7 linked regions of the Rattus norvegicus genome follow. The protein of the gene in region 7 interacts with the protein of the main gene of each other region in a pairwise test. Links are inferred from orthologs where the notes say so. Each region holds a gene or a part of one and is shown on either strand. Other genes may lie near its edges. The genes, in order: Npm2, Zcchc10, Eif1ad, Prpf38a, Prr13, Tnp1 and Sdcbp2.

The links.
Region 1: the proteins of Sdcbp2 (region 7) and Npm2 interact in binary tests that used the Homo sapiens proteins (3 or more experiments, as listed by UniProt). The two-hybrid records come from large-scale screens. The link is inferred for Rattus norvegicus from reciprocal best matches to the Homo sapiens genes SDCBP2 and NPM2.
Region 2: the proteins of Sdcbp2 (region 7) and Zcchc10 interact in binary tests that used the Homo sapiens proteins (3 or more experiments, as listed by UniProt). The two-hybrid records come from large-scale screens. The link is inferred for Rattus norvegicus from reciprocal best matches to the Homo sapiens genes SDCBP2 and ZCCHC10.
Region 3: the proteins of Sdcbp2 (region 7) and Eif1ad interact in a two-hybrid assay, tested with the Homo sapiens proteins (3 studies listed by BioGRID and IntAct). The two-hybrid records come from large-scale screens. The link is inferred for Rattus norvegicus from reciprocal best matches to the Homo sapiens genes SDCBP2 and EIF1AD.
Region 4: the proteins of Sdcbp2 (region 7) and Prpf38a interact in binary tests that used the Homo sapiens proteins (3 or more experiments, as listed by UniProt). The two-hybrid records come from large-scale screens. The link is inferred for Rattus norvegicus from reciprocal best matches to the Homo sapiens genes SDCBP2 and PRPF38A.
Region 5: the proteins of Sdcbp2 (region 7) and Prr13 interact in binary tests that used the Homo sapiens proteins (3 or more experiments, as listed by UniProt). The two-hybrid records come from large-scale screens. The link is inferred for Rattus norvegicus from reciprocal best matches to the Homo sapiens genes SDCBP2 and PRR13.
Region 6: the proteins of Sdcbp2 (region 7) and Tnp1 interact in binary tests that used the Homo sapiens proteins (3 or more experiments, as listed by UniProt). The two-hybrid records come from large-scale screens. The link is inferred for Rattus norvegicus from reciprocal best matches to the Homo sapiens genes SDCBP2 and TNP1.

Annotation. Positions count from the first base shown.
Region 1 is NC_086033.1:52,136,228-52,140,527, reverse strand, and holds the start of Npm2 (nucleoplasmin-2), read left to right. Parts: upstream 1-1,500; 5' UTR 1,501-1,590; coding exon 1,591-1,648; exon of another isoform or gene 1,649-1,758; coding exon 1,759-1,844; intron 1,845-1,935; coding exon 1,936-2,049; intron 2,050-3,277; exon of another isoform or gene 3,278-3,981; coding exon of another isoform or gene 3,982-4,182; coding exon 4,183-4,276; intron 4,277-4,300. UniProt on the Homo sapiens protein: Core histones chaperone involved in chromatin reprogramming, specially during fertilization and early embryonic development. Probably involved in sperm DNA decondensation during fertilization.
Region 2 is NC_086028.1:37,977,959-37,981,458, forward strand, and holds part of Zcchc10 (zinc finger CCHC domain-containing protein 10), read left to right. Parts: intron 1-1,310; coding exon 1,311-1,355; intron 1,356-2,975; coding exon 2,976-3,252; 3' UTR 3,253-3,500.
Region 3 is NC_086019.1:212,106,715-212,109,515, forward strand, and holds the end of Eif1ad (probable RNA-binding protein EIF1AD), read left to right. Parts: intron 1-638; coding exon 639-789; 3' UTR 790-2,301; downstream 2,302-2,801.
Region 4 is NC_086023.1:128,550,066-128,553,995, reverse strand, and holds the start of Prpf38a (pre-mRNA-splicing factor 38A), read left to right. Parts: upstream 1-1,130; 5' UTR 1,131-1,332; coding exon 1,333-1,462; intron 1,463-2,873; coding exon 2,874-3,033; intron 3,034-3,930. UniProt on the Homo sapiens protein: Involved in pre-mRNA splicing as a component of the spliceosome.
Region 5 is NC_086025.1:135,469,817-135,473,839, reverse strand, and holds the start of Prr13 (proline-rich protein 13), read right to left. Parts: upstream 2,801-4,023; 5' UTR 2,736-2,800; intron 2,102-2,735; 5' UTR 2,082-2,101; coding exon 2,063-2,081; intron 1,723-2,062; coding exon 1,373-1,722; intron 1-1,372. UniProt on the Homo sapiens protein: Negatively regulates TSP1 expression at the level of transcription. This down-regulation was shown to reduce taxane-induced apoptosis.
Region 6 is NC_086027.1:82,043,169-82,045,533, reverse strand, and holds Tnp1 (spermatid nuclear transition protein 1), read left to right. Parts: upstream 1-1,255; 5' UTR 1,256-1,272; coding exon 1,273-1,411; intron 1,412-1,609; coding exon 1,610-1,638; 3' UTR 1,639-1,865; downstream 1,866-2,365. UniProt on the Homo sapiens protein: Plays a key role in the replacement of histones to protamine in the elongating spermatids of mammals.
Region 7 is NC_086021.1:160,529,427-160,533,726, forward strand, and holds the start of Sdcbp2 (syntenin-2), read left to right. Parts: upstream 1-1,500; 5' UTR 1,501-1,558; exon of another isoform or gene 1,559-4,300.

The sequences.
Region 1 (4,300 bases), on a different chromosome or scaffold from region 7:
ATGGCTATGTCTGGGTTACTGGGAAGTTATCTTCCAGGGACTGGAGTCAAAGGCAAATGGTTAGTGGGCATCAGGATTGATGTCTGGCATAAAAAGGTGCTTCTTTAGCAATCCCAGCACCATCCTAGAAAAGCAAACTTAAAATATATCACACACCTAAGAATCAAAGCTAAAATTAGAGTCAGGTGTGGGCGTGAAGGTGCCCACCTATAATTCTAACACTTGAGGGGGAAAGATAAAAACCTTTTGAGTTCAAAACAGCCTTGATACATACCCAGACCTTGTTTTGGGAAGGAAGGAAGGAAGGAAGGAAGGAAGGAAGGAAGGAAGGAAGGAAGGAAGGAAGGAAGGGAGACAAGACATAACTTACAGTGAAAATATTTGAAATACATATATTTGACACAAAACAAATATCCAGTATACATAAAGAACATCTATAAATAATCTCAATAAAAATAATCTCAAATAATTCAATCTTAATAACTGATCAGGCATTTTGAAAATGACAGTTTGCCTATTACCAACAACCACTTTAACATTCAGCATCCTTTATCATGAAGGAAATGCAAATTAATAACTACAATAAAATACCACCAACAGGCTGAAGATAGAGCCCAGTAGTAGAACATTTTCTCTGAGGGAAATAGAAACAGAATGGCTAAATTTAAGGACACCAGCAATGCCAACCATCGAAAACGTACAAAGCAGTAACCATTCTTCATAGACTGTAGGTAGAAGTCCATGGCAATCATTATTGCTGATGCTTCCTGCCCGATCGGAAAACATGTCTAAGTCGAGTAGCAAAGACAGCTCTCTCTTGGTAACCCCAGTAAGTCCCCACTAGCTGTAAACGGTGGCTCTCACACAGGGGCTTCTTTCTGGGCCGGTACCAGCAGCTTCACCTGAAAGCTGGTTAGAAATGCAAACTCTCTTGGCTCTACCTACACCTGTTCAATGGGAGACAGCAGAGGTGATGCTCCCAAATCAAGTCTAATGGAGGGCCAGGTGCTTCTAGAGTAGGAGGGGACGCCCCGCCTCCCCTTCCCCTCCTCTTTCCCAAACTTCTTAACAGCCTGGTGTGGGCAGCTGACCCTTAAGTGAAACCCTGAAGCCAGCTTGAGGACCTGCAGTAGAGGTGCAACCCATGACTGGCAGCGCAGTGAGCTTGAGAGGGGGTGAGTGGGACTCGGATCCAAGAGAACGTGGAGGCCATTCTGTCCCCTCCCTCTCCACACTGGGGTTTCTGAGGGCCCCAAAGGCAGCCATGTGGTCTCTCAGCAAGCTGCCAAACTTGGGCTAGACAAAACCACCATTCTTTGCACTTCTTTGTTGAGTGTGTCTGTCTCAGGTCTGGGGAAGCTCTGATCCGTTTGGGGGGGGGGGGTGTTGGGGTAGGGGGTTGGCTTCTAGTTTTTAATGGCTGTTGGCTATAGTCAACATTCCCAGGACTCAGGGAGTTTCCCTTATGGAAGGCTATGAGCTAGCCTTTGCATTACTCAAAAAACAGTGATAACAGCTGAACTCCAAGCAGGGACCCAGGACCTTACCTCATCACAGACATAATTCTTCCCCCCCACCCAGTAAATCGACATGAGTCGCCACAGCACCAGCAGCATGACTGAAACCACGGCAAAGAACATGCTCTGGGGTAAGGGCTGAGGCTGTCCCCAGTAATGGTGGAGTGGGTTTGCTGGTGAACCCTTAACGTAGAGGAACTCAGGAGCCTCCCAGCTCCACACCTCCATCTTCTCTATGCAGGCAGTGAGCTCACTCAGGAAAAACAGACTTGCACCTTTAGAGCCCAAGGCGAGAGGAAGGACAGCTGTAAGCTTTTGCTCAGCACGGTGGGTGTCTCCCAAGGAGGGGGAGAAGAATGGAACAGGAGTGAGTCTCCAGCGTCAACAGCTAACAGCTCCTTCTCATCAACCTTCTCAGATTTGCCTGGGGGAGAAGGCCAAAGAGGAGGTGAATCGTGTGGAAATCCTTCCCCAGGAAGACAGGAAATCACCAATCACTGTCGCCACGCTGAAGGCCTCTGTCCTGCCTATGGTGAGTCCTCTCTCCCTGCAGGCCCCGGGAAGGCGTCACTACCCTAACTTCATCCTCAGATGGGCCTGGACATAAGTGTGGATGCCTTCATGCCTCAGGCTCCTCACCATGCTATAAAGGCGACCAGGAAAACCACCCCAACTCCTGCTTTCCAGAGACGGTGCCATGAGCAAGCCGAACAGCCTCTCCCACAGTGTCCTGTTTAAGCTTGTTTACTACTCGTCACCAAGACACTGTCTGTGGCTTCTACTTGGGCTTTGAGTGTGGGAGCTCTTCCCTCTAGAAATGTATCTCGTGCCATGCAGTTAACCATTGTGTGTGAATAGTGGCAGGTTTGTAATTTGGAGCACTTTAAAATTCATTTTAAATTAATAAATTTAAAATTGAGGGAGAGAGAGAGGGAGACAGTGTTCAGGCCACGTGTGCCACAGTACATGTGGGGGTCAGAGGACAACCCAGGAGTTGGGTGTCTCCTGCTGTGGGTTCCAGGAATTGAACTCAGGTTGCCAGGCCTATGCAGCAAGTGCTTTTACCTGCGGACCACCTAGCCTGCCCTTGTTTGTCTGAGACAGGGTCTCCTATTGGATCACAGAATGGCCTCCACGCTCTCTTCCTGCCTCCCCTTCCCTGGTGCTGAGATGACAGACATAAGCCACAACAGAAACTTTTCCCTTTTTCTGTGATCTCAGGGCATTGCCCCAAAGGCTAGGGCTTTTGGTATAATACAAATTATTATATCTGACTTAAAAATGAACTGTGAGTTGAAAATATCATAATTGGGAGAGGATTTACTATGCTTAGCCCCTGGAGCCATAGCACCATGCTAAGCTTGTAGAGGAGAAACCAGGGCACATAGAGCACCAGGAATAAGGCAGGATTTCTATCACACACCACTGGCCCAGGAGAAGGTCAAAATTCAGAATTCAGGTGTGTGGTTCTACTAAACGGATTTAACTCTTGCATCATTGTAAAGCCAAAAACTCCTGAGTAATCGGAAACTGTAATTGGGCAAACGAGACCTGAGCGTTGACCTCTTTTCCTCTTCCCTGATTTAAGATGGTTCTCCATGAAGTGCTTGGCAGATACGCTTCGCCAAATTAATGAAGCCCCCATCTGGTACAGCTATGCTTTAAGGTTTTTAATTTTATTCCTGAGTAGGGAGTTGAATTTTATCAAATACTTCATTTTTATTTTACATGTGTGTTTGGCCTGCCTATGCTCTGCAAAGCACATTCACACCGAGTTCCTACGGAGGCCAGAAGAGGGCCTTGAGAGTGGAATTGCAGATGTTTCAGAACACCGTGTGGATGCCAGGACTCGAACTCGGCTCCTCTGGAAGAGAAATCCGTGCTCTCAATAGCTGACCCTTCTTTTCAGCCCCTAAAATGGTTTTTTTTTTTTAATTTTGTCTCACCTGATCCTACATTCTTTCTCCATCAATTCATTAACATACCATTATGTTGGGATAATAATGTTTGAGCTTTTTTGGGTTCCTTGATCATGCAAACTCTGCATTCACTTTAACATGTCCTCATCTTCCTTTACTTAAGGATTCCTGGGGTGGGTGGGGTGGAAACACAAATGCTACACCACGTGGTAGTCAGAAAACAGCTTCATGGAGAAATGTATCTCCCTTCGTGAGGTCGAGGGCGGGACTCTGGCCACCAGGCCTGCTCAGCAACCCTTCCTGCACTGGACATGGCACCACCTGAGTTCCTCACTTTGCCTCCACCATTTGCTTGTTTATTTTATTTTGTTCTGGTTGTTGTTCTTTGAGACAGTCTAGGTAACCTAAACCAGCTTCAAACCCACAGTGGTCCTCTTGACTCTGCCTCTTCCCCAAGTGCTAGAATACTCGTGTGCACCACTGACTCCATCCATTCTTAATTGTGAAAAGCAGAGAAGTGATTTATTCAATGTGGTCACCTTAGGATGGGGGGACATTTGTTGTGTGTTTGGATTTTTTGTTTTGTTTTGAGCCAGAGTGTCTCTTATGTCACCCAGAATTGCAATCCTCCTGCCTATGCCTCCTCGACCCTGGAATTTTGCAGCAGTTGTGACCAGCATCTACCAGGGGCCAGGCTGAGTTACCTGTGTCTTCTATGTTGCCCTGATGTCTCTCTCCCACCACAGGTCACAGTGACAGGTATAGAGCTTTCTCCTCCAGTAACTTTTCGTCTCAGGGCTGGCTCAGGACCTGTGTTCCTCAGTGGCCAGGAATGTTATGGTAAGTGCAGCCTCCAGAGATTCT
Region 2 (3,500 bases), on a different chromosome or scaffold from region 7:
GAGAGGTGGCTCAGCAGGTAAGAGCACCAGCTGCTCTTCCAGAGGTCCTGAGTTCAATTCCCAGCAACCACATGGTGGCTCACAACCATCTGTAATGAGATCTGATGCCCTCTTCTGGTGTGTCTGAAGACAGCTACAGTGTACTTATATATAATAAATGGGGTTGGGGATTTAGCTCAGTGGTAGAGCACTTGCCTAGCAAGCACAAGGACCTGGGTTCGGTCCCCAGCTCCGAAAGAAAAAAGAAAACCAAAAAAAAAAAAAAAAAAAGAATAAATATTAAAAGTAAAAATAAAAAACCCAAGGCACTGCCTGCTCTCGGCTAATAGAATCGCCTTCTGTGTACGGCAGAAGTAGGAGTATACACAGCACTGCAGACTTTGAACTAAAATTCTCTCATGAGATTGGCTAGAGTGAAACAACATGTCTGCAGGCCTGTGGTGGTTCTGTGTGGTGAATGTGTCTGTGACAGGATCAACCTATTTTCCTAATCAAGAAGCAGAAACTCGTTTTGAAAACCTTTAAGGTACAAGGTAGAACGTGGGCTGAGATATGGCTCCGTTTGCAGAGTGCTTGCCCAGCATGCACAGGGTTCTGAGTTCCATCCAGCGCCATCCATCAGGGAATAGGTGAGTTCAGGCCTAGCCTGGGCTACATGAGACCTTGTCTCAAAGAAGAAAAAGAAAACAGTGAAATTGTATGAGGTGCAGAGTGCTTGCACAGCATGTGCCTGCCCTGGACTTGAACCCGCACCATGTGTTGTGGTGACAGGAGCAGTTCTGTAATCTGAAAGCTGGATCCGTGTACATGCCGATGGCAGAGATGCAGCTCATGCTCGGATGCTCTTTGTGGTGTCAGGGAGCAGCCTCACATTATTGAGATTCCATGTTTTTGTTTTTGTTTTAAACAACAACTAAAATTTTGGAAACTGTACAGAAATTAAATTTGCTTTTGTGAAATTTTCAAATGGCCACATGTGATTCTAGGAAGCTGGATTATGGCTGCTGTGCTGTTGGTGCCCTTGCTTGGTCAACAAGTAAAGTTCTAAACCAAAGAAGAAACAACTCTGTGTTCTGTCGTCTAAACTACTAACAGGCCTTGATGGTACAGGAGATAAAATGTGTTGTTGAAGGAAGCACGAAGTCCACTGTGGATAGCCTGTCCCGGGAAGGAGGAAACTTTTTACTTGATTAGAGCAAGAAATCTGTGCCTTGAGCATATGCAATGAAGAACAGAACTAGCCTGAGGGTAGCAGAGAAGTTTGTGGTCACTCTTATTAATAGGAGCTTTTGTTTCCCTTTGTCCCTTAGCATGGGAGAGACCAACACGGAAAGAAAGACCAAGAAGAAGAGGAGGTAGGTAGCTTTAGGTGACACTACCTGGGGGAGGAAGGTTGGCCTGAAGTCTTTGTCTGCAATTCTTTTTTTTTTTTTTTTAAGATTTATTTATTTTGGGCTGGAGAGATGGCTCAGTGGTTAAGAGCACTGACTGCTCTTCCAGAGGTCCTGAGTTCAATCTCCAACAACCACATGGTGGCCCACAACCATCTGTAATGAGATCTGATGCCCTCTTCTGGTGTCTCTGAAGACAATAACAGTGTAATCACATAAATGAAATAAATCTTTAAAAAAAAATAAGATTTATTTATTTTATATATGCGAGAACATTGCCACTGTCTTCAGACACACCAGAAAGAGGGCATCGGATCCCATTACAGATACTTGTGTGAGCCACCATGTGGTTGCTGGGAATCGACCTCTGGACGAGCAGTCAATGCTCTTAACTGCTGAGCTATCTCTCCAGTCCCTGTTTGCAATTCTTGGTTGTGATTGTATTTTCTAATCTTTTCCTGTTACGTGGAATTTACTGGCTCCATTTTTCCTTTTCCTATAACATTCTAAAATCCTTACACCTGACAATAATACTGCTGCCTGGTCTTGACCTAATAAATCTTACAAGATTTTGCTAAAGGGAACTGGAAAAATGACCCAGTTGGTAAAGTGTTTGCCATGCACATAAGCCAATAGATAGGTGCAGCAGCAGGGGTTGGTGCAGCCGCGGCGCTGGGGAGGTAGTGATGGGTGGGTCCCAGTGAATCACTGAGCACCCTGCCCAGCTGAGTCAGGGAGCTCCAGGTTCCATGACAGTGACTCTAAAGTGTAGAGCAATCGAGGAGAACTCAGAGATCTGCCTGGCATGTTTGGGTTCTTTTATTGTTCGGTTTTGCTTTTGTTTTGTTTTTTTAGAGAGAGAGAGAGAGTGTGTGTGTGTGTGTGTGTGTGTGTGTGTGTGTGTGTGTGTGTGTAGGGGTGCCTCTAGATCCCAGAAGTGGACATTGGATTCCTTATAGCTGAAATTTCTGGTATTTTTGAGCTGCCAGGTATGGGTGCTGAGGTCCAAATTCCATGACAGGCCTCTGACAGAATAGTAAGGCCTCTGAGTGCTGAGCCTTCCCTTTGGCCCTTGTTTTATTTTCTGGACACTAGATCTCACTTTGTAGCCCAGGCAGGCCTCAAACTCATGGTGACCCTCATACTTAAGCTTCTTGAGTGCTAGGGTTACAGCCACCATGCCCTGCTTGTGTTTCTTGTGTGTGTGTGTGTGTCTGTGTGTCTGTGTGTCTGTGTGTCTGTGTCTGTGTGTCTGTGTGTGTGTGTGTGTTGGTTGGTTGGTTGGGGGGGGTGACGGGGGTGTGTGTGTGTGTGACAGACTTGCCTTGACCTTACTGTGTTGCTGTGGGTGACCTTGAACTTCTGACCTTCTTGCCTTACCTCCTGGGATGGAAGGCTTGTGCCAGCATGCTCAGTGTATGGGGGGCACACCTTATGGACTCCTAGAGAGCTTGCAAAGTGTTTCAGCAGTTAGGCGATCCCCAGACATCTGGCTAGGGCTAGCTGCAGGAGCTCAGCACGAGCGTTTCTAAGCACTGAGTTAAATGTCCATTTCCCATGTGTGCTCTTTGTGTAACATTATAGGCCTAAGAGTGTCACGAGTACCTCTAGCAGTGACAGTTCAGCCAGTGAGTCTTCATCAGAGAGCGAGACATCTGCCTCGTCCTCTTCAGAGGACAGCGACGCAGATGGAAGCCTCTCCAGCTCCTCCTCCTCCTCAGCCTATTCCTCCTCCTCGTCCTCCTCCTCCTCCTCGTCCTCCTCGTCCTCAGACTCAGACTCCAGCTCCTCCAGCAGCAGCAGCAGCAGTTCCGAGAGCAGCTCTGACGACGAGCCACCAAAGAAGAGGAAAAAGAAATAGAGCTCTCTCTTCTCTGGACCAATGGACAGAAAGCATTTGTGACTCCCAGGGGAACTGAAGACGTGCTCAAGCAAGCAAGTTAGCTGGTCAGACTTGTTAAAGTCCAGAACTTTCTAAGTATTCACCATTGTGTAGGATATTAAATAAAGATGTTATATATATAAAGATGTTTATTTTAGGAATGACTATTGGGTTTTTGCTGTTGCTTTTCTTTTTGTAAAGACTGGGTCTCATTTTGTAGGCGTGGC
Region 3 (2,801 bases), on a different chromosome or scaffold from region 7:
TATTCATAACAGCAAAATTACAGTTATAAAGGAGTAATAATAATTTTATGGTTGGGTTCACTACAGCATGAAGAACTGTGAAAGTGTCGCAGCATTGGGAAGCTGTTAGTACATCAGCTGTTAGGAAATGTGAGCTATGTGTCAGTAATGCTAGTGGGGTCGCTTCCTCACTCAAATTGATGAGGGGCTGGGTGGGAGGTAATCCCGAGTCTATTCTTTTTGACTGGGTTTCCCTATTTGCTCTGTTTTTCTAGAAGAATCCTCTCCCAGAATTTTTTGCTTTGTCTCCTTTATTCTTTTAAATCTTTTTTTTTTCTTTTCTTTTTTTCGGAGGTGGAGACCGAACCCAGGGCCTTGCGCTTGCTAGGCAAGCACTCTACCACTGAGCTAAATCCCCAACCCCTGTCTCCTTTATTCTTGAGTCAGGATCTCATGTAGCCCAGGCTGTCCTCAGACTTAGTCTTCTGCTTTCGCTTCCTAAATGCCAGGCATGTGCCACTGCATAAGGGTTTGGGGCTCTTGGATTTTCAGAAACCTGTTAGATTCTGATTGTTTAGTTGATGGTCCTGGTTTTTGGGACTTGAGATTATAGCTCTGGTTTCCCCAGAAGATGTTACTGTTCTGTCCTGCTCCCACAGAGAGAGTCAGCCGGAACTCCCCGCTGAGCCACAGCTGTCAGGAGAAGGGTCAGGTTCTGAAGATGATTCTGACCTCTTTGTCAACACCAATCACAGACAGTATCATGAGAGTGAGGAGGAGAGTGAAGAAGAAGAGGAGGAGGCGGCCTGAGCCCCAGGACCCACTTCTCTACTTGCTCAGGGACTACCCCTTGGCTTTTCTGGGTTTGGACATTCCCAGGGTGCCCTGCAGATCTTTTCCTTTGGATGGGGACAAAGCATGGCCCCTTTCTGAACTGACATAAAAAGAATTAAACCCCTGGTGGGTAGTGACTTACACTGGTGTCCGTGTGGCTCTCTGTAGAGGGAAGCTCATGGTGAAATGAAGTCTCTTCTATGGTGGAAGCCTTGGTCACGTGTGGGTAGAATGGGCAGGAAATGATTTGTCTGAACTCTGCTGCATTTATCTGGTTCACAGTACCTCTCTGGACACTTGATACCTCACCCTGTGCTGTGCCTTACTGGGTCTTCCTTTATACCTGCTTATATTCAGCAGCTATTCCAATAGTTAAGCGTGCAGTCTAGGACCTCGGACCCACTTGCCTCTTAAGCACAGCTCAGGACAAACTCCTGGTGCCTTGTTATCCCTTACTGCAATAGTGCTTACTGCCTGCCGCTATGCAAACAAGCCTGCATCCCATCTCTCTTCACCTTCGTCACCTGTCATTCCCAGAACGTGTCTGTGGTCAGGATACCTCCTTACCATCTCCTGATTTTCTTTGACTTTCTCTAATTTCTTCAGGGTATTAATTTCCTGTAATCTTTTTTTTTTTGAAGCTGGGGACCGAACCCAGGGCCTTGTGCTTGCAAGGCAAGCGCTCTACCACTGAGCTAAATCCCCAACCCCAATTTCCTGTAATCTTGAGGTTGTCTCTAACCCAGGTTTGCTTCAAAATCACTGTGTAGCCTAGGCTAACCAACTCAGTGGCTGTCCTGCCTCACAGGCATGAACCTGTGGGGCTACTAACCTTTTGTTAGAGGCTATTGTAATGTCTTTACCCCTTGTACCTCAGCATCAAAAGACTTCTTGTGGTGACTCAGACCTTTGCTCATGACTACCTCTGTCCATTTACTTACTCCCATTGTTTTAGTTCAAATATCCTTCAGTAGCCCAGGTACTCACTAAACTGTGCAAGCTTCTGTGAACTGTGGCCTCACTTATTGGGAGGCTTCTGCTTCTGGCTATACCCTGCTAGCATTAATCCTGCCCCTGCTAAATCCTATTGAAACTGACCTCTCAGCTTAGTCTTGCCCCTACTGGTCATTCATCCCTCAGTGGAACTATTCAACCCTGTTGCGTACTCCTAATGTGCTTGTGTGTATGTATTTTCGTTGAAAACTTGTACTAATGGAACTTCTACTTTGGAGCCTTCCTTTTGTCTTCTGACGAATTTTGTTTTTTTGGAGGGGGGCTGTTGTGGGTAGTTGGTTGAGCTTGGAGGCATGCATTAGCTTCATAGAATCTCATTTCTGAGCAGGAAATCCTGCAATCACACCCTCTCTGACTCTCATTTATGTTCGTCATGTTTGCCTTTTGTGGTAGTAAATGTATACTTGGGTATACACATGTATAAAATATAGGTGTATATACATGGAGAAATAAACCATATGGGTTAAAGAGAAACCTATCTTTAACTTCTCTGAATTTTTTTTTTATGAAGAGTTCTTTTTTGTTTTTGTTTAGTACTGAGTATTGAACCTCAGGCCTTGGGCACATGGTGTGTTAGACTGGTGTTCTTACCGAGCTAAATCCACATTAGGAGCTCTGTCATTAGGAGAAATAACTTCCTAACTAGAGAAAGCCATTTGCCCCTAACTCATTCATTAAAGGGCTCATTCTTTTCTCATTGATACTACCTTTTAAATTTTTCAGATCAGACAGACATGTTTAGTGCACACCTTTAATCTCAACCCCAGTACTTGGGAGGCAAAGGCAGGCAGATCTCTTGAGTTCTCGGTTAACCAGAGCTATAGAGTCATTCTGTTAGCAGGCATTATGGCACATGCCTTTAAGAGAAGTGTGGAGGCAGAGGCACAATTATCTCCTAAGGAATTTGAGGCTAGCCTGCTCTACATAGTTTTATGTCCTCACCTCCACCCCCCAAAAATAATCCTAACCAGGTG
Region 4 (3,930 bases), on a different chromosome or scaffold from region 7:
CTTTACCACTGAGCCATCTCTCCAGCCCCAAAGGTCATCTTATTTATATCTTATGCACATAACTAGATGATATCTAATTCATAATTCAATGCAAAATACTGCACTCCCTTTCACAGAATTCAGAAACCTCCCAACATTCAAATATTGCCGTCTAATACAGCTTCTAAAATATTTTATAATTCTGGTCAGGCAGAGGCAGGCGGATCTCTTTGAGTGTTAGGCCAACCTGGTCTACAGAGTGTTCCAGGACAGACAGGGCTACACAGAGAAACAGTGTTTCGAACCCCTTCCCGCACCTTACCCAATCTAATCCTGAAAAAGCCGGGTGTGGTGGTGGCGCGCCATTAATTCTAACGCCTGAGAGGCAGAGGCAGTCGCTCAGAAATCCCAATTCCTCCAATTGTTACGAGAAGGCTAGACCCAAGAAAGTAGAAAACGAGCCATTAGATAGATGTTCTCTCCTGTGACTAGGGACTGAAGGCTCACCAAAAGACAAGTTATTGGGAAAGGAGACCTGAGGAGAACGAGAAGCCAGAGTCACAAAAATTGACCTAGAGAAAGTTTCTCTCGGGGCGGAATCACTAGTTAGTGAAGCTGAACGCAACATCAGCTCCGCCGTTCTAAAGGAAAGGATGCGAGTGCTTTTCAGAAGCCGTGCACGTGGAAAGTCAAAGCCTTAGGCTCCCCGCGACGGCAGGCTCCACCCGCTTCTCTGAGATCTCCTTCAGCGCAGGAAATGTTTCAGGAGCTCCCAGAAGGCGAGGAGAACGTTTACCCACTTTCGAGAGGTGAGGGCACTTAAGGCCCTAGGTGCACGTGTGTGGAGTCTGAGGACGACCCGCACTCACCTCACCGAAGCTTGTTAGGGCTGTCGGTAACCCTCCGCTTCCCACTACTTGCAGTCCAGGCACTGAGGGGGCTGTGGAACGCTCGCTCGTGCAGTTTGGGCTCCGCCAGGAGACGACAGCTGCAACGCGCACCCAGTGCTCTCAGCTGACTAGGAATGGAAGTCAGAGGAAAAAACTTTTCGCGCCACTAACCGAAACCCCGCCCATAGTCTGATTCTTATTGGTGTTTCTAACACCTTGCCACGCCCTCCAAAGGCTCATGACGTACTTCCGCCAATTTGCTTCAGCCCTCTCTGAGGAAGGTTGTGCGTAGTGTCCGGAAAGAGTTCTGAGCCACAGCTTCCGGTACAAAGCTAGTCGCTTTCCGCGGTTCGAAGGAATTCCTTAAGGTTTCCCTAGCCTCTGCTAGTCTTTTTCTTCTTCTTTTTTAATCTGGATGTGACGTATTAAGCAAGCCGACGGAAATAGTTGAAAGCGTTCTAAAATGGCGAACCGTACAGTGAAGGATGCCCACAGCATCCATGGCACCAATCCTCAGTATCTGGTGGAGAAGATCATCCGGACACGAATTTATGAATCAAAGTACTGGAAAGAAGAGTGTTTTGGACTTACAGGTGAGAGACAGCGCGCACCTCGCTTCTCGGCTTACGGGTGTTTTCTTCTGATTGAGTAAGGAAGGATAGACCCTCTGGGCGTATGTCAACCATTCATAAACACTGTTCTGTGTCTAGACTTATACTAGACAGGACACAGACAAATCTGACACGATCTTTCCTTTGTTTTTTTCTTTTTAGTTTTCCGAGACAGGGTTTCTCTGTAATATCCCTGGCTGTCCTGGGATTCGCTGGTATCGAACTCCGAGAGATCCTCCTGCTCTGCCTCCTGAGGGCTGAGATTAAAGGAATGCTGAACCGACCTTTTTTGATGCTAAAGAATTTGCTTAGGTTCTTTGAGCCACTATTTTTTGTAGTCTGTTGAGTCCTAGACTGTTTATCTCAGCGACCGGATACATTTCCTTGAATACAGCTTTCTGAAGATGTTAAAGGAACGTCACCATTCCTATAATCAAATTCTTGCTCTTCTTAAATGAGTCATTATTTTCATTCTTGACCTACTTCCTCTAGTCTTTTAGGTTTTTGGGGTTTTTTTGTTTGTTTGTTTGTTTGTTTGTTTGTTTTCCCCCCTTGAGACAGTGTCTCACTGTGTAGCCTTAGATGGCCTGGAACTCTCTATGTAGAGGAGGCTGGCCTTGAACACACAGAGTATGAAAGGCATGAGCCACCTCGCTGACTCCTATCAATTCTCCAGAGTAGCTATCTGGAGAATTTCCCAGCTTTGTTCATATTCACCTAGTGTGATTTTTGCTGTGGTTCTTGAGCAGGTAAATCACTTAACCTTTTTTTGTCCTCATTATCCTTAGCTGTAAGTCAGGACAATGATTATTTGGGTGTTTTGTTTTTGTTTTAGACAGGGTTCCCCTGCGTAGTCCTGACTGCCCTCGAACTCACTCTGTAGACCAGGATGGCCTAGAACTCAGAGATGTGCCTGCTTCTGGCTCCCAAGTTGTACATTACCCCCCACCAGCATCTGGACTTTCCTCATGACTTGTTGTATAAAGATTGAGGACTCGTGAGTCCACTCTTCCTTGATGGACTAAATAGTTGACTGAGGCAGGGGTAAGGGATCTGTCTCAGTAGTGGTGTGGTTCCAGGCATATGTAGCCCTGGCTGTCCTGGAACTCACTCTGCAGACTAGGCTTTCTCAAATTCAGAGATCTGCTTGCCTCTGCCTCCTGAGTGCTGAGATTAGAAGCAAGCGTTACCATGCTCAGGGGGTTTTTTTGTTTTCTTTTTAAGACTCATTTTTATTACTATTATTGATAAGCTTTTGATCTCTTAAATATTAAGTTCTTATCAATTATTTAGGAACTCTAAACCTTTAGCTATTTAATCTCCCAACCAAGAAACCTAAGGCCTTTAATATTATGTCTAAGATGAATGTCACTTTGTTTTTGTTTTTTTTCAGCTGAACTTGTAGTCGACAAAGCCATGGAGTTGAAGTTTGTGGGTGGTGTGTATGGTGGAAACATAAAGCCAACTCCATTTCTATGTTTAACCTTGAAGATGCTTCAGATTCAACCTGAAAAAGATATCATTGTTGAGTTCATAAAAAATGAAGATTTCAAGTAAGTACAATGGTAACCAGCACAAAAATTTTAGTGGTTCAAAGTTGGCTTTGTTAGTAGGATTGTCTGTGTCTCATTTCTACAGCCTTCAGCCTTTGAACTTGTATTTTGTCTACTGTAGTTATGTAGACCTAACTCCCTGTTCCCCAAAACGTATTTCACAAATTAAATATGCACACATAATATTTTTACATATGTATACATACACACAGAGTCTCATCAAAGTGATGTGTTGGTAGACACTGTATGTGGGAGCCATACAACATAGGATGTTAGTTGACAGGTTAGATCGGTATCTTATTTAGACTTTGGTACCTATTGACTGTAACCCCATAGAATTTCTCTAATTTTTTTTAAAGCTTGTCAATGAATGGTAAACATAATCAGCTGTTCCATATCATCCATTCTCTAGGAATGCGGAGGCAGGTGTAATAGCTGATCCTGTGCCGAACAAAATGTGTTTTAAGGGCCTTAGATATAGTGATTCATATACTTTTCATCCCAGTGCTTTAAAAATACTATGCCTATTTTACATGGGCAGAAACTGAGGCACAGAGATTTTAAGGAATTTTTTGGTCAGAAAACTAGTGCGTGTTAGATCTGTGGCTGAGATAAAGCCTGGGGATAGAACAAATGGAAGGGTGTAAGTCTGATCCCCATTGGGGATTGGAGAGGAGAAACTGGCTGCAGAGTACACTTTGGTTTTCTTTGTTTTGTTTTGATTTTTGAGATACTGCCTCAGCGTAGTTCTGGCTGGCCTTATATTTATGGCAGTCCTCTATTTCTGCCTCCTGAGTGCTAGGTCTCAGCTAGAATGCATATTCGTTGCTGTACTGTTCTTCTCATGTGATGAAGCTTGGATTTCAAAAGGAGATTTGAGTAAGGACTGGATATATG
Region 5 (4,023 bases), on a different chromosome or scaffold from region 7:
CCTCAGTCATTGCACAGAACTGAACACATTGCCTTCTGACCAAGTTTATACTTTCCACACCTAGCCAGGGCCAGGAATGAAGAACAAACACAGCATGGATGCGGGAAGCAGCTGCAACTTTGTAAGTCCCTACTCATTAGCTTAAAGAATGACAAACGAGACTCTCTGCACCTCAGAGAGGGTAGGAACAGCCAGCCACCGTGTGTGTGTGTGTGTGTGTGTGTGTGTGTGTGTGTGTGTGTGTGTGTGTGTGATGCTGTACTTCCTCCAAGTCCCACTAGGGGAAAAAGTGGGGAAGATGGCAGAGACAGACAGATGGCTGGAGAAACCCCACACAGACATACCTCCGTCAGCTACTGTAAAAAAAACACCTGCTACCAGAATCCTAGCCCTTAAGAGTTTCGTGTTGGGGCTGGAGAGACGGCTCAGCGGTTAAGAGCACTGACTACTCTCTTCCAGAGGTCCTGAGTTCAAATCCCAGCAGCCACATGGTGGCTCACAACCATCAGTAATGCAGATCCGATGCCCTCTTCTGGTGTGTCTGAAGATAGCCACAGTGTACTCACATACATGAAATAAATAAATAAATCTTAGAAAAAAAAAGTTTAGGCTCTCAGGGTTCTCTCCCTCATTCAGTGTCTCCTTTCCTTCCCCACTCCCCACATCTCTACCTAAGACCCAGAATCAGGAACTAGAGTCCAGACCCACAAGCAAACATTTGGCATAAAAATCTAACTAAAGCTTCAAGATTAGACTGATGCTTTTCCCAAGTCCTCAGGGAAACTCCTTCCCTCACTAACAATAATTAGCGTCCCTGTGGAAGGAAGGGATACAGGTCTTGTGAAGGAAAATGCCCTTTCACCCCAGGCTTTGCAGAAGGCTGCTGAGTCACAGAAGACCCACCCAGGGAATTAACTCAGCACCTGAGAACGCCGAAGGAGATAAAGGAAATCCAGGAACTAGGGTCAGACCGCCACCCCGCAAACTATTATGCGTCATTGCACTTTGTCAAAGAACTCTTTTGACATTTAGACAACCTTAATGGGTGTGTCCAACTTACCAAAAGATACACCTAGGGTGGGTCAAGGCGGGGAGTTACAGGGATAGAGGGAGAGAAGGGAGAGGGCTTTTGGCTCTGATATCCGCCCCCACTTCACTTTTCCTTTGCAGATGGGAGTGGTCGAATGCCTCAATATTACTAAACTCCTTAAAGGAGGATCTCTTTACGTAAAGGAAAACCACCTGCCAAAAGGACAGGATTGCCGTCCTCCTCCCACGCCCCACAAACCGAGAATGCCCATCCCCAACTCCTGATCACCCCGGTCCCTCTGAAGGGAGCTCCTTCCCCAGCCAGGCTCCAGAGGACACTGACCTTCCCGTGCTTATGATGCTTGTGTGATTTCTTGTGAGCTTTCTTCATTTTCTTCCTAGTCTTCTTGTCTATCACTATTCCTGGGCCTACCATGCCAGGAGCCGGAGGATTCACGGGGCACATGCCAGGAGCAGCTGGTGGGTACGGGGGAGGGTAGGGACCTGAGGGTTGGTATCCTGGACACCCTGGTTGCGGTACAGGATAAGGAGGTCGACACGGAGGGAAAGCTGGGTTTCCCTGAGGAATTCCGGGAGGACAGGGGCCAGGAGGAAAGGCAGGATTTTGGGATGGTGGGCAGGCAGGATTGGAACCTCCTGGACACACAACTTGGGGTGGATATGGATTTGGCCCTAGAGGAAGAATTGGAGAATAAAGATTAGAACGGTGCAAACCTCTATCAACGAGTAACACAAGTCACCACCATTCTTTTTTTTTTTTTTTTTTTTGTTCTTTTTTTCGGAGCTGGGGACCGAACCCAGGGCCTTGCGCTTCCTAGGCAAGCGCTCTACCACTGAGCTAAATCCCCAACCCAGTCACCACCATTCTTAAGCCCTACGGAAAGGCAGAACTCGGTAGCTAGCAGTGGTCCCGTGACTTTGTTTTTGCTGGGGGTTGCAGGATACAGAAAAATCCCGTTTCGTTGCAAAATGGGCTGGGGCGGGGTCAGAGGAGAGCCCCCCAGTTACTTACCAGCACTAGGATTCCACATGTCCACAAGTTAGTTCAATCCTACGAAGTAAAACAGACAAAAATCTGAAGCTCCCAGGAAGGGAAGCGGATTTTCTAGAGCCCGAGCCCCACCCTACAGCCTCCGCCTTACGAAGGCTCTCACTGATAAAACTACCGCAACCTCCACTTTAAAATGGGCAGCACTCTGGAGGCAGAGGCAAGTGGATCTCTGAGTTAGAGACCAGCCTGGTCTAAAGAGAGTTACAGGACAGCCAGAGCTACCCTGTGTTGAAAACCAAAACAAAACAGAAAAAAAGTTTCCTTCCTCTCTCCAGCGCCCTCCTAGCCTACATTAGCGCAGGGTCTAAACCACAGAAACTCTCTTCCTGGGGCCCCTCCCACTTTCACTATCTCACCTGGATGTAGGCGTCTCATTTCCCTCTCCCTAGAAAGGGACCGGAGGCCTTAAGCATCCGTAGTGTGAGAGATAGGACCTAAACCCTAAACTCCCTGCTCGCCCCAGTGGAGAAAAAAAAAAAAAAAAAAAAAAAAGGAACCCAAAACGCTAAGATAAGGACAAAACACACACACCCCAAAGAAAGGGCAAAGGGAGTTCCTAGTTCTCAGGTATAAATGGATCCCTGGCCCAGCTAAGAGGAAAGAAGGGAATTTGGGAGGCCAGATGCCCTGTCACCTTCCCAAGATCGCTGGTCCTCTTCCCGTCCTCCTTCCCAGTCTGGGATCACACACTTCCTGGTCACCCCTATTCATTCTATGCTTCCGCACCGCCCCGGTGACCTAGATAATTATGTGGTCACTCGGCATGATGATTGGAGAACTGACTTGTCAATCGCTGTGGTCCAAACAAGGAGGAAACGTTTGCGCTAGACGCCGGGCGGAGCCTTTTGGAAAAAAAAGCCTTGCGTTGTGAAATACATAACTGGTGAAATAACAGACACAGCGGAAGTGCTCCTTAGGGCGGGAGCGGGGCAGGGCTAGCTCCAAGCAGAGACCCCGAGCCAACGAGATAAACTCTCAGTTTCTTTTGTTCGTTTAAATTTTAAGATTTTTTTTTTAAATGAGTATGAGTGATTTGCCCCAATGTATGTGCACCAAGTGCCTGCTGAATGACAGCGGAGGTCTTCAAAGCCCCTGGAGTCAGAGTTGCTGATGAGCAGCCATGTGGATGCTGGGGACTGAACTCAAACACTTCGCATGAGAAGCAAACGCTTTTTAACTGTTGAGACATCTCTCCAGTCCCTATCATTGCGTTGCGGTTACAGGTCAGTGAGTACATTAGGTGTTTTGTTTGTTTGTTTTAAGGTAGCCTTGTCTGTAACCTAGCACTTGGGAAGTGGAGGAGGAGAATCAGAATTCAAGGGCAATGTTAGCTTCTTAGGGAATTTGAGGCCAGCCAACCCGATATAAGACCTCAGAGAGCCCTGTGCTGGTGGCATATGTCTTTAACCCCTGCACTCAGGAGCTGAGGCAGGTGAATCTCTGGGTTTGAGGACAACCTGGTCGACATAGTGAGTTCCAGGACAGCCAGAGCCACACAGAGGAACCCTCTGTTTCCAAAAACAAAAACAACAAAAAAACAAGACCTCAGAGAACAAAAGGAGGAAGTGCTGCTAAGTCCTAGCCCCAGGTCTCAATGCTGCCAGCTTCTATAACCACAGCCCGTGGTTCTCTTTTTTTTTTTTTAAAGATTTATTTATTTATTATATATGAGTACACTGTAGCTGTTTTCAGACACACCAGAAGAGGGCATCAGTTCTCATTACAGATGGTTGTGAGCCACCATGTGGTTGCTGGGATCTGAACTCAGGACCTCTGGAAGAGCAGTCAGTGCTCTTAACCACTGAGCCATCTCTCCAGCCCCGTGGTTCTCTTTTGTAGAAAGATAGGTAAGAGAGGGGGTCTCAATGTGTCCAACAGATGCCGTGGTTATAGTCTCATGCCATTGTTCCGGGTGAATAACT
Region 6 (2,365 bases), on a different chromosome or scaffold from region 7:
CATAATGGATTTCATCCACTAGGCTAAAAGGTCCATGCACACACGGGACTTTTTTTCTCATTTTACTAACCTTTTATTAACCACACCCCACTCACTGCCCCTCCTCTAAAAATTCCTTCCCCTTCCCCTTGTCCTTTGAGAGGGTAGGGGCTCCCTAGGTTTCCCCTCACCCTGCCACATCAAGTCACTGTTGGAAATAGGCACATCCTCTCCCATTGAAGCAAGATAAGGCAGCCCAGCTAGAACATATCCCATAGATAGGCAACAGCTTTTGGAATAGCCCTGTTCTTATTGTTTGGGACCCTCACAAAGACCAAGCTGCACACCTGCTACATCTGGGGGAGGACTGGGGCTAGGTCTAGCTCTTTGGTTGGTGGTTCAGTCTCTGAGAGCCCCTAAGGTCTAGGTTAGTTGACTCTGTTGGTCTTCCTGTAGAGTTCCTATCTCCTTTAGGGCCCACAATCCTTCCCCGCCTCCCAACTCTTCCAGAAGAGTCTCAAAGCTCCACCCACTATTTGGCTGCACACACAGGATTTCTGTCTCTAAGCTATGTCTTTAGGTCAATTCCCTAGTGTCCAAACATGTGATATACATATCCTATGTAAGCAATAAATTTGTGACCAAAACTTAACAGATTTTGCATTCCAGGCTCCCAAAATGACAGGTGGCAATCTTTGGAGATATCTGTCACATCTGCCAGGGTTCTGGCTCTAATGGTTTGTAGCAGTAGAAGCTAGGAATATCAACAAAGATCCCAAAACACATGAAGCAAACTAAAACTTAACCCTGTCCCTGGTATCAAAAATGTAATAAAGATTGGGACCGAAACTTCCTATTTTTGACCAGCTCTCCTAGACTCAAGTGCTTATGGAAAAACATTTGCTTCCTGAGGATACTGTTGAGACTTACACATGCACACATACAAATATCTACACTCAGTGACTTTTAAGTTCTCTACAAACAAATATACTTTAATTAATGACCACTGGTAAAGCACTTCACAGGCCTAGTACAGGAATGGGAGTTAGATGTTTAATACCTGTCTGAAAAGCCGTCTTTAACCTAAAATGGGGACCAGACCAGCACTGAAGGGACTGCTTCCTTATTTCTTCTGTACCACCTAGGTGTATGTATGTATGTAGTGACGTCACAAGAGAGCCCCACCCAGCTGCTAAGCCACGCCCCTTTTCGGTCACAATGGCTAAGGCCTTAAATACATGGACTACTGGCCCTGCCGGCCTTGCAAAGCCCCTCATTTTGGCAGAAATTACAATGTCGACCAGCCGCAAACTAAAGACTCATGGCATGAGGAGAGGCAAGAACCGAGCTCCTCACAAGGGCGTCAAGAGAGGAGGAAGCAAGAGAAAATACCGGAAGAGCAGCCTGAAGAGTAGGAAACGGGGCGATGATGGTAAGTGCAGGGCGAGCGGGAGAGCAGTCAGATTCCAGGACATGCTCTCCCAGCCACCCTCATGGAGGCCAACCTCAGTAGTAACCAGCAATCTCAGCCTGAGATGCCAGCGTTCTAGGGGCTGAATTCTTAGGGCTAAGGATTCTGATGGCTGTGTTCTAATGGGTGTCCTTGTTGTAAATCTGTCCTTCCCCACAGCAAGTCGCAATTACCGATCCCACTTGTAATGCGGCAATGAGCTCTAGCCTGGTGGTCTTCAAACTACACCAGGCAGCAACAAGACATCAGAGGGGGACTGCCAGAGAGATCTGAAGTTAGACCAAAGCCAGAGAAAGATCCTATCAGAGTGGGTAAAATGCCAGTTGTGACGAAATTCGGAATGTATATGTTGGCTGTTTCTCCCCAACATCTCAATAACAATTTTGAAAACAAAATAAAATTGTGAAAACTGAAATGGTCTCTGGTTTTTGTTTGTGGACTTAAGCAGGGTTGGAAGAAAAACCTTTATGACCCTCCGTCTGGTTCATCTTGAATTACACTTTGAAGTATGTTCCAACCGAGCCTACCCAGAATGTGGTCCTCCAGAGAGAGCTGGTATTCTGGGTCTGGGTGGATGCTTAGTGGAATGCCCTGTGTGCTGAAAGTCAACTTCTGATTGTATACAGCAAGCCTAACAGACTTGGTAGGTAGGTATGGACAGAGGGGCTAGCCAGAACCCACCCAGTGGTGAGAAAGTCTGTTGGCTCAGAACATTCATCCATCCCTCTTCCCCTACTTAGGGAACATGCTTTAGGGCAACTGGAACAGCCTCATACTGGGTGATGTTTGGTCTTTACTGTAACATCCTTCAAGGACCGTGGGTGGAGTATCTCTGGAGTCAACAGGAAGGTTAGCACCTAGATCAGCTTAAAGCTGCCATGCTGAGCATGCCCTGATTCTGAATGCAGTATTAAT
Region 7 (4,300 bases):
ATCCATCGGGAATTCTCTTCTTTTTTAAACTTGACTTTCATATGATTAGTGGGTTAAATGTACATTCAAAAGCTTCAAGATAAAAAAGACACAATAGAGCTGGACTTGGTGGCACCACACGTTAACTGTGAGAGGCAAAGGCAGGCAGATCTGTATGTCTTCAAAGTGAGACTGGTCTAAGACAGCCAAGGCTAAGTACAGAGAGCCTGTCTTTAAGAAAAAAAAATGACAAGGGAAATAAAGGAAGAAATCCCGTCCTATCTCAACACAGTTCTTTAGTTCTTCCAGGAGGTTACTGGAAGAAGTAGATTTAAGAAATAAAAACAAAAAACAAAAAACAAACAAACATTTACTGCTTTCTTAGAAAAAAATCATAAGCAAGGCTTATGATTCAAGAGATGGTTCAAAGGGTAATATGCTTGCTATGTATTATGATGACCTTTACACACGCGCACACACACACACACACACACACACACACACACACACACACACGAAAGTTGTGAACAGCAGCACATTTGCACTACAGGTGCAGAGACAGATCCCTGGAGTTTGCTGAACAGTCAGTCCAGCTGGAATGGTGAACACTAGGTTCAATGAGAGACTCTGTTTAAAACTAAGGTGGAGAGGAATAGAGGAAGACTGTCAATCTCTGACATCTACATGCTCACACAGGCAAATGGGAAGACTGTCAATCTCTGACATCTACATGCTCACACAGGCAAATGCACCACACGCACACACACTCCTACAGATTCCATTATTAGAATCTACACAGAAGTACAAACTGAAAAGCTCACCAGGGTCTGGAGGGGTCAGGTAGCATTTGCTTAGGAGTGTAAGGCTTGGTTCCTAGTATCTCGGAAGGAATGACAGAGCAGGCAAGGGGGCAGGGCTCCCTAGGCTTCCTGCAGTGCGCACTTTACTGAAAACAAAACCAGAGGTATGACCTCAATAGTGATTATTCATTGTCTTGTGGTTATATTTCCCCTTGGCACCTTCCTGAAGTGATTTAATAAACATGTCATCTTCAGTAGATTGGTGACTCCTTTAACCAATGTCAGGCATCTGGGATTTCTAGATTGGTTTTACTAAAAAGAAACACTGTGATGGATCCAGATATTGCATTGAAATACATTTCTAAGAAATATACTAGGTTACAAAATATGGCCACCTTTTAAGACCCAGGACATCTATCTCCATGCTCTCCAGTTAACCGACTTTGCCTACTGGCAGGGTAAGGCCTCCACAGCCTGTGCTGACTTCCTCAGTGGGCCAAGTAGCTCTAGTTTGCACACATCTCTACAACAGCTCAGATCAGCTATACACTTTAGCCCCGCCTCTGAATCTAGACTCATGCGAAGACCTTACGTGGATGATTGCTCTGTTTATTGAGCCACACAGGCTAACCTGGGCCCATCCCAGTCCACGGTGAGTAAGCTGAACAAGGGACAGGCACCACCCTTCCCAGAGCAGGAACTCAACTGGGACACAGGCCACCAGCACACCCCAGGAGGCTGCAGTAGCTGGAGAAGGGCACAGAGTGGGGAGCCAGCAGGTAAGGACAGTCTGTATTGGCTGGGATAAAGGAACTGAACAAGACCTGCTCACAACCAATCTCTTTTCCTCCTTTGTCCTGTCTTCTAGGACTTCTAGGTAGCCTTTTAATTTGCTTCACTCTTGGAATGACATGAGAACAAAGCTTTTCCTTTTCTGATCCCAGGCAGGGTTTGAAGGATGTATGATTTTCTGTACTGTTCTATCTCCTACCCTTGCCTTTAATCTATCCTACATTCATTGGCCAGAAGGCCCTGAAGGCTATGGCTCTCTGATGCTCAGACTTCCCTAGTTTCTCTCACTCAAGAAGGGCCAAAATTCTCACCAAGACCTATGAGCCCTCCAGGATCTGAGCCTCTCCTGTCTTCTCTGGTTTCCTCCTTCAAAGTCCTCTGAACACTGAGGGCATGCTCACCCCAGAGTCTGTGCAGTGGACCTATCTCCCTGGAATGTTCTTGCCCACCCAGTTCTTTAAGCTTTTACTGAAATGTCTCTCTCCTCCACAGCAAGGCTCCCCTAATCCTACTGCCCCCTCAACTCTCCATCCCACTTCATCTCTTTCCACCACTGACACAGCCCACAAAACCTTGGGGCTTTTTAATCCAGCTCTTCACTACAAAGTCCCTACATCAAAGAGTGATTAATTTTGTTCACTTCTTACCATGGCCATCCAAAACAGTACCTGGACTTAGGAGGTGGTCAGAAGTGGGTGAGCAGACAGCTATGGAGTTGCCTATTTATGCTAGGCACTGTGCTAAATGGTCTCCATGTATAACTCATTTAAATGGCCGTCTCATGCCTGGATAACTCTGTGCTGAAAGGAAATGTTATTTTACTGTCGTTACAAAATAAATGTCATAGAACCTAGCCCATTCTCACAGTCAGAGGCAGACAGTAGGTTGAGCTGCTCTAAAGCCCTGGCTTCTGCTCTGTCTCCCCTGGACCTTCATTGGGAGAACAGAATCTCCTGAGTCCTGTTCCCTCTGGTACAGTACAGCCCTGGAAGGAGGAGGTACTTGCTTGTGGCTTAGCAACAGCCTCCTCCTCGCCTATTCACCAGATCCCTGGGCTAATTTGGCCTTACAGAAGCTATTACCCCATCACATTAACCCACGCTTCTGTTTTCTGAAGGATAGATGAGTTGTCCACAGGAACAAGTGGGAGTCCCAGAGCTCCAGCAGTTTGGAACAAAGTGTTCTCATTCTTTAAGTTCAAAGATGGGGGCTAATGGGCCCCTTTCCAGCCCTGTTGATTCCCCAGGGCCTGACTGCTAACAATACTGAGAAATGTAGAACGCTCTGGGATGGAAATCGAAAGATATTTTGGGAAGGGAAGTTGCTGGGAGCAAGGACTGGATGGGTTCCCTTAAGAGAAGTCAACTACTTGCAGGAACTGAGCAAACTCTTTCGTTGTCACTCTATTTGTACTCCATTAGGGCTGAAGTTTCCCTTCCTACACTTAGTTTTTCGTTAAGAGACTTTCTACAGGTGGTAATTGGAAGAATGTTTATCTAGGTGTCAGGTGACATATCTGGGGAGATGTGTACAAACATCTATTCACCTCAGACAACCAATGACAGACCAACCAAGACAGTGGTTCTCAACCTTCCTAATGCTGTGACTTTTACTACAGTTCCTCGTGTTGTAGTGATGACCCCCCAACCATAATTTTTTTTGTTGCTACTTCATAACTTTAAATTTGCTACTGTTGTGAATCATAATGTAAATATATGCTTTCTGATGGTCTTAGGTGACCCCTATGAAAGGGTCATTCAACCCAAAAGGGGTTGAAACCCACTTGAGAACTGCTGAACCAAAATAAAATAGTCCATGTCAGCTGTGTGACTCAAGCAGTTCACCTAGCATCGGTGATGACTGCGAAAAGCTCTCCAGAAGAACCTTCTCTGCCCTCACAATTGTTCACTGCTTACATAACCCTGGGGAGGGCTCTGTGAACCAGCTTTCTGAGCTCCTCAGAGTCTTCTATGCTCCCTTAGGTTCCTGAGTCTCAAGCCTCCCACTCCCTTCTAGGAGAGAATGTTGTTTCAATTCCGAGGAAATAGCTACTACCTACCTACACACTAGGTTTTCAGGCTTCTCTTCCTTATGTCGTTTTTTTTTTTTTGTTTTTTTTTTTTTTTTTTTTTTTTCTCCTGTTACTTTATGGAGAGACAGGGCGATTCACACCAGCTAGTGAGGATGACAGGGAAAGCAATGGTGGAATTGCAATCTAGGAAATGCAAAAGGCCTGGCTCACAGTAGGTACTTCCTAAATCTGTGTGGAATGAATAATGACTAGTCATTACAAAGATCCTTGGGGGTTGTGTGGGTGTAGGATTTAGGGGCAGGCTTAGAACTGAACAATTCACCACATGAACTGCGGGTGGCATTTAAGGCAGAGGGAACAGCAGTGCCGAGGCGTGAAGGCATAGATTAGCAAGCTGAGTTTTAGAATCGGCAAGCTATTTGAAATGAAGGGAATGCAGTGAGTAAGTGGGGGTAAGGACAGAGGCACGTCCACCAGGGGTCAGTCATGAAATGTTTAAAGTCATGTTGAAGTCTGAGATTAATTCTGATGTAAGAGCTAGATATGATTTCACCAACAGGTAAAGGCAGGGTCTGAGGGTAAATCCCAGATTTCTGGCTCAGTTCATACGTGTATTTGATGGGGCTGCAGTCAAGATTTGGGAAAACTTCAAGGTAGTCTCCTGAAGGTAAAAGATATCCAAAAAGCTGGTGGGATT